Mus musculus: one gene and its partners. The protein of the gene in region 2 binds, or shares a complex with, the protein of the main gene of each other region. Links are inferred from orthologs where the notes say so. Each region holds a gene or a part of one and is shown on either strand. Other genes may lie near its edges.

Region 1 (4,100 bases), on a different chromosome or scaffold from region 2:
TGGCATAGTCTTCTTGTTATTTGATAATTGAAACAGGGCCTCCTATAGCTCAGGCTTCACATGGATTCTGGAGCCAAGAATGATCTTGAACTGATCCTCCTCCCTCCACCTACCAAGTGCTGAGATTAAAGACATCATGGGAACAGACCCGGGGGCAGGAAAGGAGCCTTATCTGAAGCAGAAGAGCTGACCAAGCCAGGAAACAAATTTAACAGTGTGCCCACAGATCCTTTTAAGAAAACCTGATTCCACAATATGACCTCTTAATACTGTTCTTGGCGCTTCTCAGCCAACTGTGCAGTGCAGGTTGATCATCAAGGGCCAGAGAGACGGCTCAGCGGGTAAGAGCGCTGACTGCTCTTCCAGAGGTCCTGAGTTCAAATCCCAGCAACCACAAGGTGGCTCACAACCATCCATCATGGGATCTGACGCCCTCTTCTGGGGTGTCTGAAGACAGCGACAGTGTACTTAGATATAATAAATAAATAAGTCTTTTAAAAAAAAATACATGTTCATTTAATAAGCATTTATCCTGCACCTACTGTGTCAGACATTCTACAAAGAATAAGAAAGCATATACGAATCTCTACCCTTCTAGAATTTATACTGTAGGGTAAAGACAGACCACAAACCAGCAAGCAAACAACTATGCAATGTTGAGGCCTGGTTATAACTTTTTTTTTCCTAAGATGTGTGTGTGCTTGCACTAATGTGTGTGCACCATGTGCTTGCAGGGGTTCATGGATCCAAAAATGGCCCTGGGACCTCTGGAAGTAGAGTTACAGGCCATTGTGAGCTACTTTTTTTTTTTTTTTTTTTTTTGGTTCTGAGAACTGAACCCAGGTCCTCTACGAGAGCAGCAAGTGCTCTTATCCAGTCATCTCTCTAGCCCTGATTTAAATTTTCTAAAAACAAAAAATGATGTAGGTGTTTTGCCTGTATCCATATCTGTGTACCACCTGTATGTTTGGTGCCAGTGGAGGCCTGATGAAGGCACTGGATCCCCAGGAACTGGGATTACAGACAGCTGCGATCTGTCCTGTGGGTGCTTAGAACTGAACCTGGGTCCTCTGAAAGAATAGTCAGTGCTCTGAATTGATGAGGCAGCTTTCCAGGTCCCTGCGCCCCCATCCCTGTCTCCAGTTTTAATTCTTCAGACTGGATGGTGTCCAATCTAAGAGCCTGGATGAGAAGGTTTTAAATATCTAGGTTTAATACACCTAGACCAGATATAGTGGGGAAGGAAGTATATTCTTGCAATATAACTGACACAATTCATTGGTAAACTTGGTGTGAGACATGAGGCCTTATCACATCTCTTAATTTTCACCTTTAGTTAAACAGTGAAACACTACCAAAATAGAGGACTAGAATTTGAACCACAACCCAAAAGCTCCACTTTAAATAACATCCAAGAGCTCGAGTAACATCCCAGCACATGCCAAGGGAGTGGCTAGAACAAACAAATCTGGGACAGCTCACAAGGAAGATCGGTATGGGTGTATCCCACCACATGGAGTTGAAAACTTGTATTTAAAAAAAAAAAAAATCACACAAGTAAGATTTTCTATTTTTAAGGGAAAGAAGACTCCACCCCAAGAAGCTCGACACTTAAGAAAGAAAACAGAAGCAGTCAAATAGAAATCCTAAGAGCACTGTTTCAAAAAGGAAGCTGTCAGACCGAGAAATCTCCCCAACAGGGCACTTCGAGCGTCTCTTTTATTTTTAAATACGAAGACCACTACAGTTCGAGTTGAGACCTGTAACTATTCAGTAGTGGGATCCGATTGTGTTGAGCCAAAGTGTGAACGTGCAGAAACGGAGCAGACAGTGACTGAATAGACCTGAACTTAAAAAAAAACAAAACGGAGGAATGGAATGCTGATAGGCTAGATTACGGCGAGGGGCTGGGCCACCAACAGGATGGGGGAGGGGGCGGATCCTTCTGGACAAAACTGGTTCAAATTAAGAGCCTGGGGTATGGGTGCGTCGCACTGCGGGAAGATCGTGTGGGCGGGGCTTGAGGTCTAAGATACAAAATCCCTTTTCCTTCGGGAACCAGATCTCTCTCCATTACTGTAAGAGTCCTGGTATGGTAGGGTTGATTGGTAGTTGCAAATAATCGGGAGACTGGGACAGAAGACTTCGGGTTTAAGACCTGCCTTGGCGCCTGGCTCAAGAAGAAAAACAGGTTCCAAAAAAAAGCTCGGTGGTAGAGTGCCTGCCAAACCTGTCCAAAGCCCCAGGTTAAATCCGCCCCCAAAAGGGGAAAACAAAAAGTTTGCTTCTTAATGTATTGTATTCCCCCAAAGAAAACGGAAATAATGTACTTGTTGGAGAAAAATGATTATCATCCAACCAAATCGACTTCACAGCTCGCTAACCGACAGAGGCCTGAAAAGGACAGCTCCGGGAGAATCTAGCTGAAAGTTTCGAGAGGCAGGCTGGATTTTGAAGGGGGGTGAGGAAAGAAACAAGACTGCGGATGACACACCAGACGGCTACAGACCCGGAGGCGGGGGGTGGCAATGCAGCCTGAGCGCCCAGGCCGATGCCATTCCCCCGCCGCCCTCACCTCCTCCAGATACTCGCCCAGCTGTGCCGCCACGTCCACCTCCCAGTTCTTAGTGAGATCCCGGATGGGCTGCAAGAGGTGAGCAAAGCGCACCTCCACATCCTCCATGTCTAGAACGGGACTAGAAGCCCGGAACCATGGCTCAACCCGCTACTGGTTCTGGCGCCATTTTGGTGCTCCCGCCCCGGAAGTACGTAGCCAGGGCACTGCGCGCACACGTATGACGTCAGGCGGGCCCAGTTTCGAAGAAGTAAAGAAGCGGGCCCGACGGGGGCGGGGCCTACACCGGGGGCGGGGCTCCGTGTCTAGGGGGGGGGCCTGGAGGAGCGGAGGAGACTAAGTTTCTAGGTGGTTAGCGGTGAGTTCTTTGGCACTGGGTGGAGCTCAGTGACCCGACCGGACTGACGGATTCCGGCTGCGGCGTGGGCCAGAGGCCGGGCTGGGGGCAGCTAGGAGACTAGAGGGCACTACTTCGGCAAGACCGCGTAGCGGACATGGCGAGCTCCCGGGTCCCACAGCAGCTTTTCCTACAGGGTGTGGCCGCTGTCTACTTGTTCGCCTTTGCGTCCCTCTACACCCAGATCCCAGGTGAGGGCGCGGAGGGGTTGAATCGTCACACGTGGACGTGGTAGCATCCCTTCCTTCACTGCCCTCTGAGGCGGGTGTAAAGTCCAGGCCTCTCTCTGCGCGGGATTAAGGGGTGGTAGTTTGCGGGCAACAAAAGTGGAGGAAAAAGAAGCACAAGGGTCGATTTCCCTTAACTATTAGTAGTCTCATCTAGGCTTAGGGAAAAACCCCGAGGGGAGTGGGTGGCAGATTTCTACCTGGACTCTGTGGGCAGGTAAGAGAGGGATGCGCTCTAATTGACAGAAGGTGCTGACCCAGAATCAGGTCTTCTGAACCTGGTGTTGGGGGTCAACAATTTCCAACGTGAGAGAGAGAGACCATCTGGTAGACAGAGCAAGCCCTGCCTGGGATGGGAACATCTGCAAGCACAACCTGGAGTTGGGGGTTTGGGACATCTGCATGCCAGGAGCTGGTGGTGGAGCATCTCCGGGGCCTAAGTTCATGTGCATGTTAGACTGGGAAGATGTCTAAGACTTGGCCCTGACATACCCTCCCACAGGCCTCTATGGCCCAGAGGGCATCCTTCCTGCTCGAAGAACACTGCGGCCCCAAGGCAAGGGCCTGTGGCAGCAGCTGTGGGAAACACCAACGCTGCTGTGGGAGGCACCAAGACTGGGGCTGGATACTGCCCAAGGTCTGGATTTACTGACCTTATTGGGCACCGTGCTAGCCCTGGGCGCCCTGCTCCTGAACTCTCTGAGACACCCCTTCGTCTACCTGCTGCTCTGGGTTGCATACCGATCAGCCTACCAGGCAAGTGAGACACTTAAAACTTCAGCCTTCATCTAACCCACCCTCTCTCTCTGCCTCACCTGATGCAGCAGACACACAGTGGCTCCCTGACCACTTCTCTCCCTACAGGTGGGCCAAGTGTTCCTTTATTTCCAGTGGTGAGTGA
Region 2 (3,745 bases):
AGTCAAAGTTGCATAAAATTATGTAAGTAGCTATGAAGCAATCTATTAACAGCAAATACTCAGGATCATTTCTTTAAGAAAATAAGGTAGGAGCCATCTAATATCAGATATAGATGTAACCATGCTGGTTAAATTCTATTTGTCCTTCCAGATCATTGTTTCTTTTTTCAGAAGGCTGATAGGGAACCATCAACTGTATGGGTTCAGGTTTCAGTTATGGTTGCAGGGCAAGAAATGAATAGAATAGAGATACTTACAGCATTCTAAATCATATAGCATTCTTCCATGCTAAGGCTAAGAAAGGTATAGATCCCCCAAACTAGTACTACCAGAGTTCTAAATTAGTCTACCTCCCGAAACCATAACCAAAATGTTAAGTATGTTATGAAACCTAGACTATATTAATTTTTTTTTTTTGGTCTGGGCCTAGCAAGGAAAGCAACTTGGTACACCTTTGACCAAATTAAAAAATAAAAATAAAAAAAATCAGTCCTCTTCCAAATGGATAGGTCATCTGTTAGAATGAGTTGTGCAGCTTCAAGAAAGACATACTTTGAACGGTGAGGGAGAAACAGAGAATAGGCACAAGCTTATTTAGTAAGATCAGTCAAATCAGCCATGGTGATTAACAGGATAACAGATCTCTAAGCAATATTGCACCACATCCTAAAACTGATTTTAAAGAAAGGGTCTCACCGTGTAACTCTGGTCAGCCTAGAACTCAATATGTAGACCAGGCTGGCCTTGAATTCTGCCTCTGCCTCCCAAGGACTGGGATTAAAGCATGCATCACCATGGCCTGCCTGTCTCCCTCCAACCCCCTCTTTTGAAAAAACTTTTCTTGTATAGTGCCAAGCGCCGACCTAGCACTTGGAAGACCGAAGAGGATCAGAAGTGCAAGGTCAACCTTAGCTACAGCTGGCTTAAGGCTAATCAGAGCTCATATAGACCCTGGCTCTTAGGACTTTTCTGAGTAAAACGTAAATCTACTTACCAATCTTCCATATATTCCTGGGATCCTGCCTGATTTTTTTTCTTGAATTATTGCATCAAGTACTTTCCCCCTACTTCGATTCATTGCTAAGGAACTCTTTGCTTCTTCAACTTTTTGGAAAAGATCATGAACCAAACTTTTTAAGTTTATTTCTTCTTGTGTCAGTTTCTGAAGTTCTTTTTCTTTCTAAAAGTGAGAAGATGAAACGTACAAGCATTTGATCTTTACTACACTACAGAGCAGCAGAAAACTATTTATACTGTTTCAACAATAATAAGTGAGGCCCCTAAGTAACACTGAGCTTCCATAGTGCTATTTTGGCCTGGCTTTAAACATTCGGATGAGTGTCTCCTATTTTAAAAGAAGCATAAATTATTTGGCTCAAAAAGAGGAAACCCAGATCTCTTTAAGTATAGGGATATAAAAACCCTAGTAGATTTTTCTCAAGTTCTGCCCTAAACAAAACCAAATCCAGGAAATGGATTCCAGGGTAAGTGTAGCTGGGCAGTTCTGTGGTTGTTGTCTTTTTGGCTAAGTAAACAACAAAACAAAAAGGTATAGTTCCTAAACAGAGATGGAAAAGATGGCGGAAATGGCTGTCAACCAGAAGAATCATACACCCAAATTTAGTTTCGCAATTCCCAATTTAGAAACAGCCATCTTTCTCTAACTGTTATTCTCCTCTATTACTTATGACCCAGTCAGAGTAAAAGCTTAAAGTATAAAAAACAATCCCAAAAGAAAACAAATCACTAGAAATAATTACTGGATATAATTTAATTTACATTTAAATTTTACACATCAGGAAACTGCCTGATGATCAAACAGTATAAATTTACTAAAATTTAAAAATATTTATTTTTAAACTATATATACCTCTGTGTGTGTGTGTGTGTGTGTGTGTGTGTGTGTGTGTGTGTGTGTGTGTAGGTGTAGGTGTAGGTTTCCCTGGAGTCCAGAAGAGAGTATCAGAAACCCTGGAGCTGAAGTCACAGGTAGTTATGAACCACCCAATGCGCGTGCTGGGAACTAGTAAGAGTAGCAAATGCTTGTATCTGCTAAGCCACCTCTCCAGTTCCTCAAATAACCAGGTGGCGGGAGGTGGTGGGGATGTCTAACTAAGAAATTTTAAAAACTTTGTTACTTTTCATGTATGTTTATATAAGTTACCCACATTTATCTATTTAGAGAAACATTTTTTTGGGAGGGAGAAAATAGGCTAGTGTGGAATCTACTATGTTGCTAAAACTGGTCTCTCTCTTTTTTTTAAAGATTTATTTATTATATGTAAGTATACTGTAGTTATCTTCAAATAACTAGAAGAGGGCATCTGATCTCATTACAGACGGTTGTGAGCTACCATGTGGTTGCTGGGATTTGAACTCAGGACCTTCAGAAGAGCAGTCAGTGCTCTTAACCGCTGAGCCATCTCTCCAGCCCCACTAACACTGGTCTTAAAAGTGATCTCCTGCTTCAACCTCTCAAATGCTAAGATTATAGGCACACTGACATTCCTGGCTAGGGATAGGTAAGCACTCTACCAACTGAGCTTCATATCCAGCCTGAGAAATGTTTAATTATTCCTATGGGACTGTGGCAGTGGTTATTTGTGTTTGGAGACAATAGTGACTCTACTCCCATTCTTTCTTTTTTGGGATGTATTAGGGATGGAACCCAGGCCTTGTACATGCTATAGAACCTCCCTACCCACATTTATAAGTCCAGCTAATTATTACTAAATTCAAATATTAAAATGTTTCCTCATTCAAGAGTATATTAAGAAAATTTTTTTATAACAACCACTTTAAACTTGGACATTAAAAACAAAACAAACAACTCCCACATATAACTCTAGAGATGACGATGCAGATGAAATACAGAAGTAATTTACCTCCTTTAGTTCCTGTTGCGTCTGAGGGAGCTTTGTGTTTATATCCTTGATTGCAGCTTTCCTCTCCTTGAGAGTCTCAGAAGCTGTAATTAAGGCTTCCTTCGCCTTACTTAATTGAGACACTGCTGTATTATGTCGACTGAGATAGATATCAAGTTCTGACTGAGCAACTTCCATCTTTGAACGTGCTTCATTTACTGATTTGTTAAAACCCATAAGTTCCTTTTCTTGAATCTATTAAAATATGAGTTCATTAGAAGTGAAATATATTTTCAAGTTTAGATTGAAACTGTATTTCTTGAGTCAATTAAGAAAGGAAGGTCTACAGAGTACTATTAAAAAATAATTTGAATAAGTGGAGTAGATTAAAGTAGCCCATGTCTAGTTTTCCATTTACACTATTCATTGTCTCTTCCTAACTGATGTCCTATGAGTTTTGTGAAGCTGGCATAGCATGCTCATTTCTGAAATAAAAATGTAATAATTAAGGAAACACTGGACTTACACCTAGATTTCATACTGTTTCTACATTACCAGGTATAAGAACTATTCACAAAATTTTTTCAAATGTATTTGTTGAAAAATATGCATCATGGGAAGATTTCATTTCAATTTCATTGATAGTTTTATCATTAACAAGGGGTAAAGATACATAGAAAAACCCCAATGTAAATCAAACGACAAACCAAATGTACAGAATTGCTATATGCTCAAGTATTGACCTCACATTTCCTACAATTACAATTTTTTTTTCACTTAACTTTTTTTATTTCAAAGTGAAAAAACGCATGTGTGTGTATGTGTGTGTGCAAATATTATAGACCAAAGGTTTAGGTATTTTAAATGAAAGGTAAAACAGT
Region 3 (4,219 bases), on a different chromosome or scaffold from region 2:
TCTGTGGCTTTTACTCTCTTTATGACTAGAACGCAGGTGAACTTAGCAGCTAGGGGGCCAGTCAGGGAAAAGGCACTGGAAAGCTAAGGAAAGGAAGAGGTGGCCATCTAGGATTAGGAATGAATGAAGTGGAGAGGATGGCATTGCTGACGAAGCTCTGAAGGGCCCAGAACCAGTCACTCAGCAGCCCTGAGGATGTCTCTCTGGCCACTGTCAAGTGTGCAGAATGGCAGTGTTTAAATTAACCAGCGTTCTCGGCACTGCCAAGAGGACACAGGGAGACACCTGATCATATTGACTGACCAGGAAAGTAACATAAATAAGGAGGGAAAGGAACACAAGGTGGCACTGCATGGTGAGAAGCCGCAGAAACAAAAGCCGACCTCAGTATGTAAATAAGAGGAAATGAGCTGGGCACACGGGGGTGGGGGTGGGGGGATAGTGAACACACAGGTAACAGCTGACGAGGCTCCCATCAATGACATGTTCAACGTGTGACTGTGGCACTGCTGACCTACTGTTTTAGAGCAAGACACAAGATTCCTGGAAGGAGTTAAAAGAACCCAACTCATCCTCATCCCTACCCCGATTTAAGAAACAGAGAGCACTGTTTTAAACCTGGCTTTATAATGAATTAGCTAAGAAAACTTTAGGCAAGCAAACAAGCTCTCTGTCTCTATGCTGTCTCTGCTTCACCATCGCCCTGAATGGAAGACCATCACTTGGCTGTGGGTACAGCTAGTGAGGAGTCCTGACCTAGCGCTCATCCTTGGCTGGTAGGTGGGCATGTGCTGAGAAGAAGGAAGAGGGAGGGAAAAAGGGAGAAAAGGAGAGAGGGAGAGAAATGGGAGGAGGGATGGGGGGGAGTGACCCGGGCACAGAACTTGCTGTTTAGGAACAGGTGGCACGATGACATTTTATAGGAACACGGAGAAATAAAAGGAGGCAGGGAGTATAGAGCAATGTAGAATTCTTGCCTGGCACACACACGCCATGGTACAAGGCTTCACCACAAAAGTAAACAAAGAGACATAATAAACAACAAATGCTTGTCCACAGGGCAGCAGGAGGAAAGGCATTACAATGCTTCCTACAGGTCGAGGAGTATAGTTGACACACCAAGACAAAACAAAAAGGTCAAAAGAGGAGATGAGAGACGTTTTATGGGCATAAATCAAGACATCTGTGACTCTGTAAATGTGGGTATGGAAAGGAATTGAGAAACTGGAAGCACGGAGGGGCTAACTCCTCCCCCGCTGCTCTCTGCCGTGGGCAGTAGACAAGAGTCTAGTTCAACAGATTGTTACTGAAGTCAAGAGCACGTTCCTCAGCTCCTCTGCTCTGCTTCGGTTCTCAGCCTGAAGTGCCCACTTCGGGACTCATCTTTTTCTTCTTGAGCTGCTCTAGGCCCTGTGGTACCCATAACCTGAGTTATTTCCTCCCCACACCCGGACAACTGGTGCAGGTCCTGAATGTATTCTCTGCAAGGTCTGTCTAGTGATCTCACCGGTACCCATGGCTTTATCATCTCCATGATGAAGAAAAACAAATCTACCTCCCAGCCTATGGACCTCGGTCAAACTCGCCCAGTAGATACGAACCCCTTCACCTGAGCGCCTCTCCAGAAGTCACAGGCAACAAATCCAAACTGAAACTATTATTCCAAAACTATGACTTAGGTCTACCAGGTGGTCAGTCTCACTAAGCTTAGTTATGACGGTCTAGCTCAGAGTTTCTCAACCTTCCCAATGCTGTGACCCTCTGACACAGTTCCTCATGTTGTGGTGACCCCCAACCATAAAATTATTTTCCATTGCTACTTTATAACTGTAAATTTAGTGGTTATGAATCATAATGTAAATATCTGTGTTTTCTGACGATCTTAGGCGAACCCCGTGTAAAGGTCATTTGACACCTCCCCATGGGGGCTGCCACCCAAAGGTTGAGAACCTACGGTGTAGTTAATTCCTAGACTAGTCCAGGTTCCTTCCTAGCTCTTCTCTTGTACAGGATGCTCAGCCCATAAAGTTCTTCTCAATGTTTGCTTAAAAATCTCGAGTCCATAACGGACAGGAGTTATAGCACTAGGTTTTATCTGTCAAATATTTGCCATACTACCTCAACTTGACACAAGCTCCAAGAGGAAAAGGTATTTATCTGTTTCGTTCCCCACCCCCCGCCCCCTTTCAGAGTGGGTCTCCTGTAATCCAGGCTAGCCTCGAAGTCGCTATAGCTGAGGACAACCTTGAACTTCTAATCCTCCAGTCTCCATCTCAAGTGCCCAGGCTTCTTCGGTTGCGAATCTCGGCGTCTGACCGAAGGTCTGTCCCAAAGGAAGCCCTCAAGACTTTAGAATCAGTTCCAAAACACAGGCACGAATGCTCAACACAGAGCGGTCGACACTTTGCTTCCACAGCTCCCCACACAACGTCCAGTCCAGAAAAAACAAAAAACAAAAAAAACCCACTTTATCCTCCGTTAGAACCAGGGCGCGGGGAGTATTAGAGCCCAGCCGCCACTGGCAGCTGCGTCCTGATTGGCCCAGCGCCCCGCTTTCCCTTGCACTCTCTTCCCCTCCCCCGCCGGAGCCCCCGGCCGAACCCCGCCGAACACATTCGTCCCTTCTGGACCTGCCCACGCGAGCACCCTTCGGTCCTGATCCTGCCAGCCGCGCCTGGACCCACTCGAGCTCACCTGAGCGCGGAATTCTCATCTTGCTCTCCACGTCTCCGGAGTAAGTTTTAAATCGCGAGCGCCAAGCGCGGTAACCGCCGCGTGACGTCACTGGGGCGTGGTCTTTGGTGCGCCTGCGCAGGCCGCCTAGGCGGCTGGCTGATCAGAGTGGCCCCGGAAACTTGGACAGTTTTGAGTCTACGCGCGAGTGAACTAGGTGCAGCGGTGACCCAGCTGAAGACGTTTGGAAACATTCTGGCGCCGAGCGCTGGGCGCGGAGTAGGATGTGTGGATCTGGGCAGGCGAAGGCTGTGCTTTCCTAGAATCTGGATTGTAACGGGGAGGCAGGTTTCTGAGGAATCGAGGTTCTTTGCCGGTAGAAAACGCTGCCCTTATTGGAAGTTCCAGGCAGGCAAGAAGGAATGCAGAGCATTGTGTATGCACGTGTAGACTCCACCCAGAGTATTGTGTATGTATACACCCACAAGGACATTGTGTGTGCTCATGTGTACACAGGCCCCAGAGCATTGCGTTTACATGTGTATACTCTTCCAGGAGCATTGTGTATGCGTGTGTACACACACCCTAGAACATTGTGTTTACTTATGTTTATACCCCCAGTAGTTTTTATATATGTGTGTACATTTCCAAAGAGTTTTCTGTATGTGTGTGTGTGTACATGTCTATACACACACATACCAGAGCATTGTGTATGCTCTTACTTATACATGGACATACCAGAACATTGTGCAGGCATGTGTATCTGCACCAGAGCATTGTGTTCATATATCTATACACATGCATGCACACACATTTAAAACTAAATTTTTGTCCAGATTCTTGTAAAGAGCTTTTTGGAAATCATTTACCTACCATCATTTTTTTAAAAAGAGGCTGGGGTGTAGCTGTTTAGCATCCTTGACATTATTTGCCTGCCTATCAGCAGTACCCCTCATTATGGTGACCAAAACTCTGCCTTTTGTTGAAAGCTACTTTTTAAAAAAATATTTCATTTCATGTGTATGAGTGTTTTCCCTGTGTGTATGTATGTATATTTACCACATGCATGGCTGGTACCTGAGAAGATCAGAAAAGGGTGTCAGATCCTCCGGGACTGGAATGACAGATGTTTGTGAGCCACCATGTGGGTGCTGAGAATGAAACTCAGGTCCTCTGCAAGAGCAACGAGTACTCTAAACTACCTCTCTAACCCCAAAAGCTACTCTTTTTTTTTTTTTTTTTTTTTTTTTTTTTTAGTGATATTCCAGCAGTTACTTTATTATTCAGGATTTTTAAAAAAATTTTTATTAGGTATTTTCCTCATTTACATTTCCAATGCTATCCCAAAAGTCCCCCATACCCACCCCTCCACTCCCCTACCCACCCACTCCCACTTTTTGGCCTTGGCGTTCCCCTGTACTGGGGCATATAAAGTTTGCAAGTCCAATGGGCCTCTCTTTCCAGTGATGGCCGACTAGGCCATCTTTTGATACATATGCAGCTAGAGACATGAGCTCTGGGGTACTGGTTAGTTCATAATGTTGTT

Evidence for each region. Proteins that work in one complex are often made in the same cells at the same time.
Region 1: the proteins of Smc4 (region 2) and Ncaph2 are in contact, whole or in part, in a cryo-EM structure (PDB 9F5W), measured with the Homo sapiens proteins. The link is inferred for Mus musculus from reciprocal best matches to the Homo sapiens genes SMC4 and NCAPH2. Residues at the interface, in NP_001002800.1 of Homo sapiens: Ile100, Leu101, Gly102, Pro103, Ile112, Gly113, Pro114, Ser117, Gln1151, Met1152, Leu1155, Phe1227, Lys1228, Ser1231, Ile1232, Phe1235, Tyr1236, Glu1239, Gln1240, Asn1253, Asn1254, Phe1256, Glu1257, Arg1261, Gly1264, Ile1265, Tyr1266, Lys1267, Thr1268, Tyr1269; in NP_689512.2 of Homo sapiens: Arg494, Ile495, Trp498, Glu499, Thr501, Val502, Leu505, Leu506, Gln509, Glu510, His512, Phe547, Cys550, Arg551, Met553, Leu554, Leu557, Gln558, Ala560, Asn561, Tyr563, Val565, Glu566, Ile567, Gln569, Leu573, Glu574, Ala576, Val577, Asp578.
Region 3: Smc4 (region 2) and Ncaph share a complex: the UniProt entries of both Homo sapiens proteins name them as parts of the condensin complex. The link is inferred for Mus musculus from reciprocal best matches to the Homo sapiens genes SMC4 and NCAPH.

What each region holds. Positions count from the first base shown.
Region 1 is NC_000081.6:89,354,419-89,358,518, reverse strand, and holds the start of Ncaph2 (condensin-2 complex subunit H2), read right to left. Parts: upstream 2,801-4,100; 5' UTR 2,684-2,800; coding exon 2,576-2,683; intron 1-2,575. Other genes in the region: Lmf2 (lipase maturation factor 2), read left to right, coding at 3,070-3,163, 3,702-3,955, 4,064-4,092. UniProt on the Homo sapiens protein: Regulatory subunit of the condensin-2 complex, a complex that seems to provide chromosomes with an additional level of organization and rigidity and in establishing mitotic chromosome architecture.
Region 2 is NC_000069.6:69,021,600-69,025,344, reverse strand, and holds part of Smc4 (structural maintenance of chromosomes protein 4), read right to left. Parts: intron 3,120-3,745; coding exon 2,886-3,119; intron 1,181-2,885; coding exon 995-1,180; intron 1-994. UniProt on the Homo sapiens protein: Central component of the condensin complex, a complex required for conversion of interphase chromatin into mitotic-like condense chromosomes.
Region 3 is NC_000068.7:127,131,155-127,135,373, forward strand, and holds the start of Ncaph (condensin complex subunit 2), read right to left. Parts: upstream 2,801-4,219; 5' UTR 2,714-2,800; coding exon 2,695-2,713; intron 1-2,694. UniProt on the Homo sapiens protein: Regulatory subunit of the condensin complex, a complex required for conversion of interphase chromatin into mitotic-like condense chromosomes.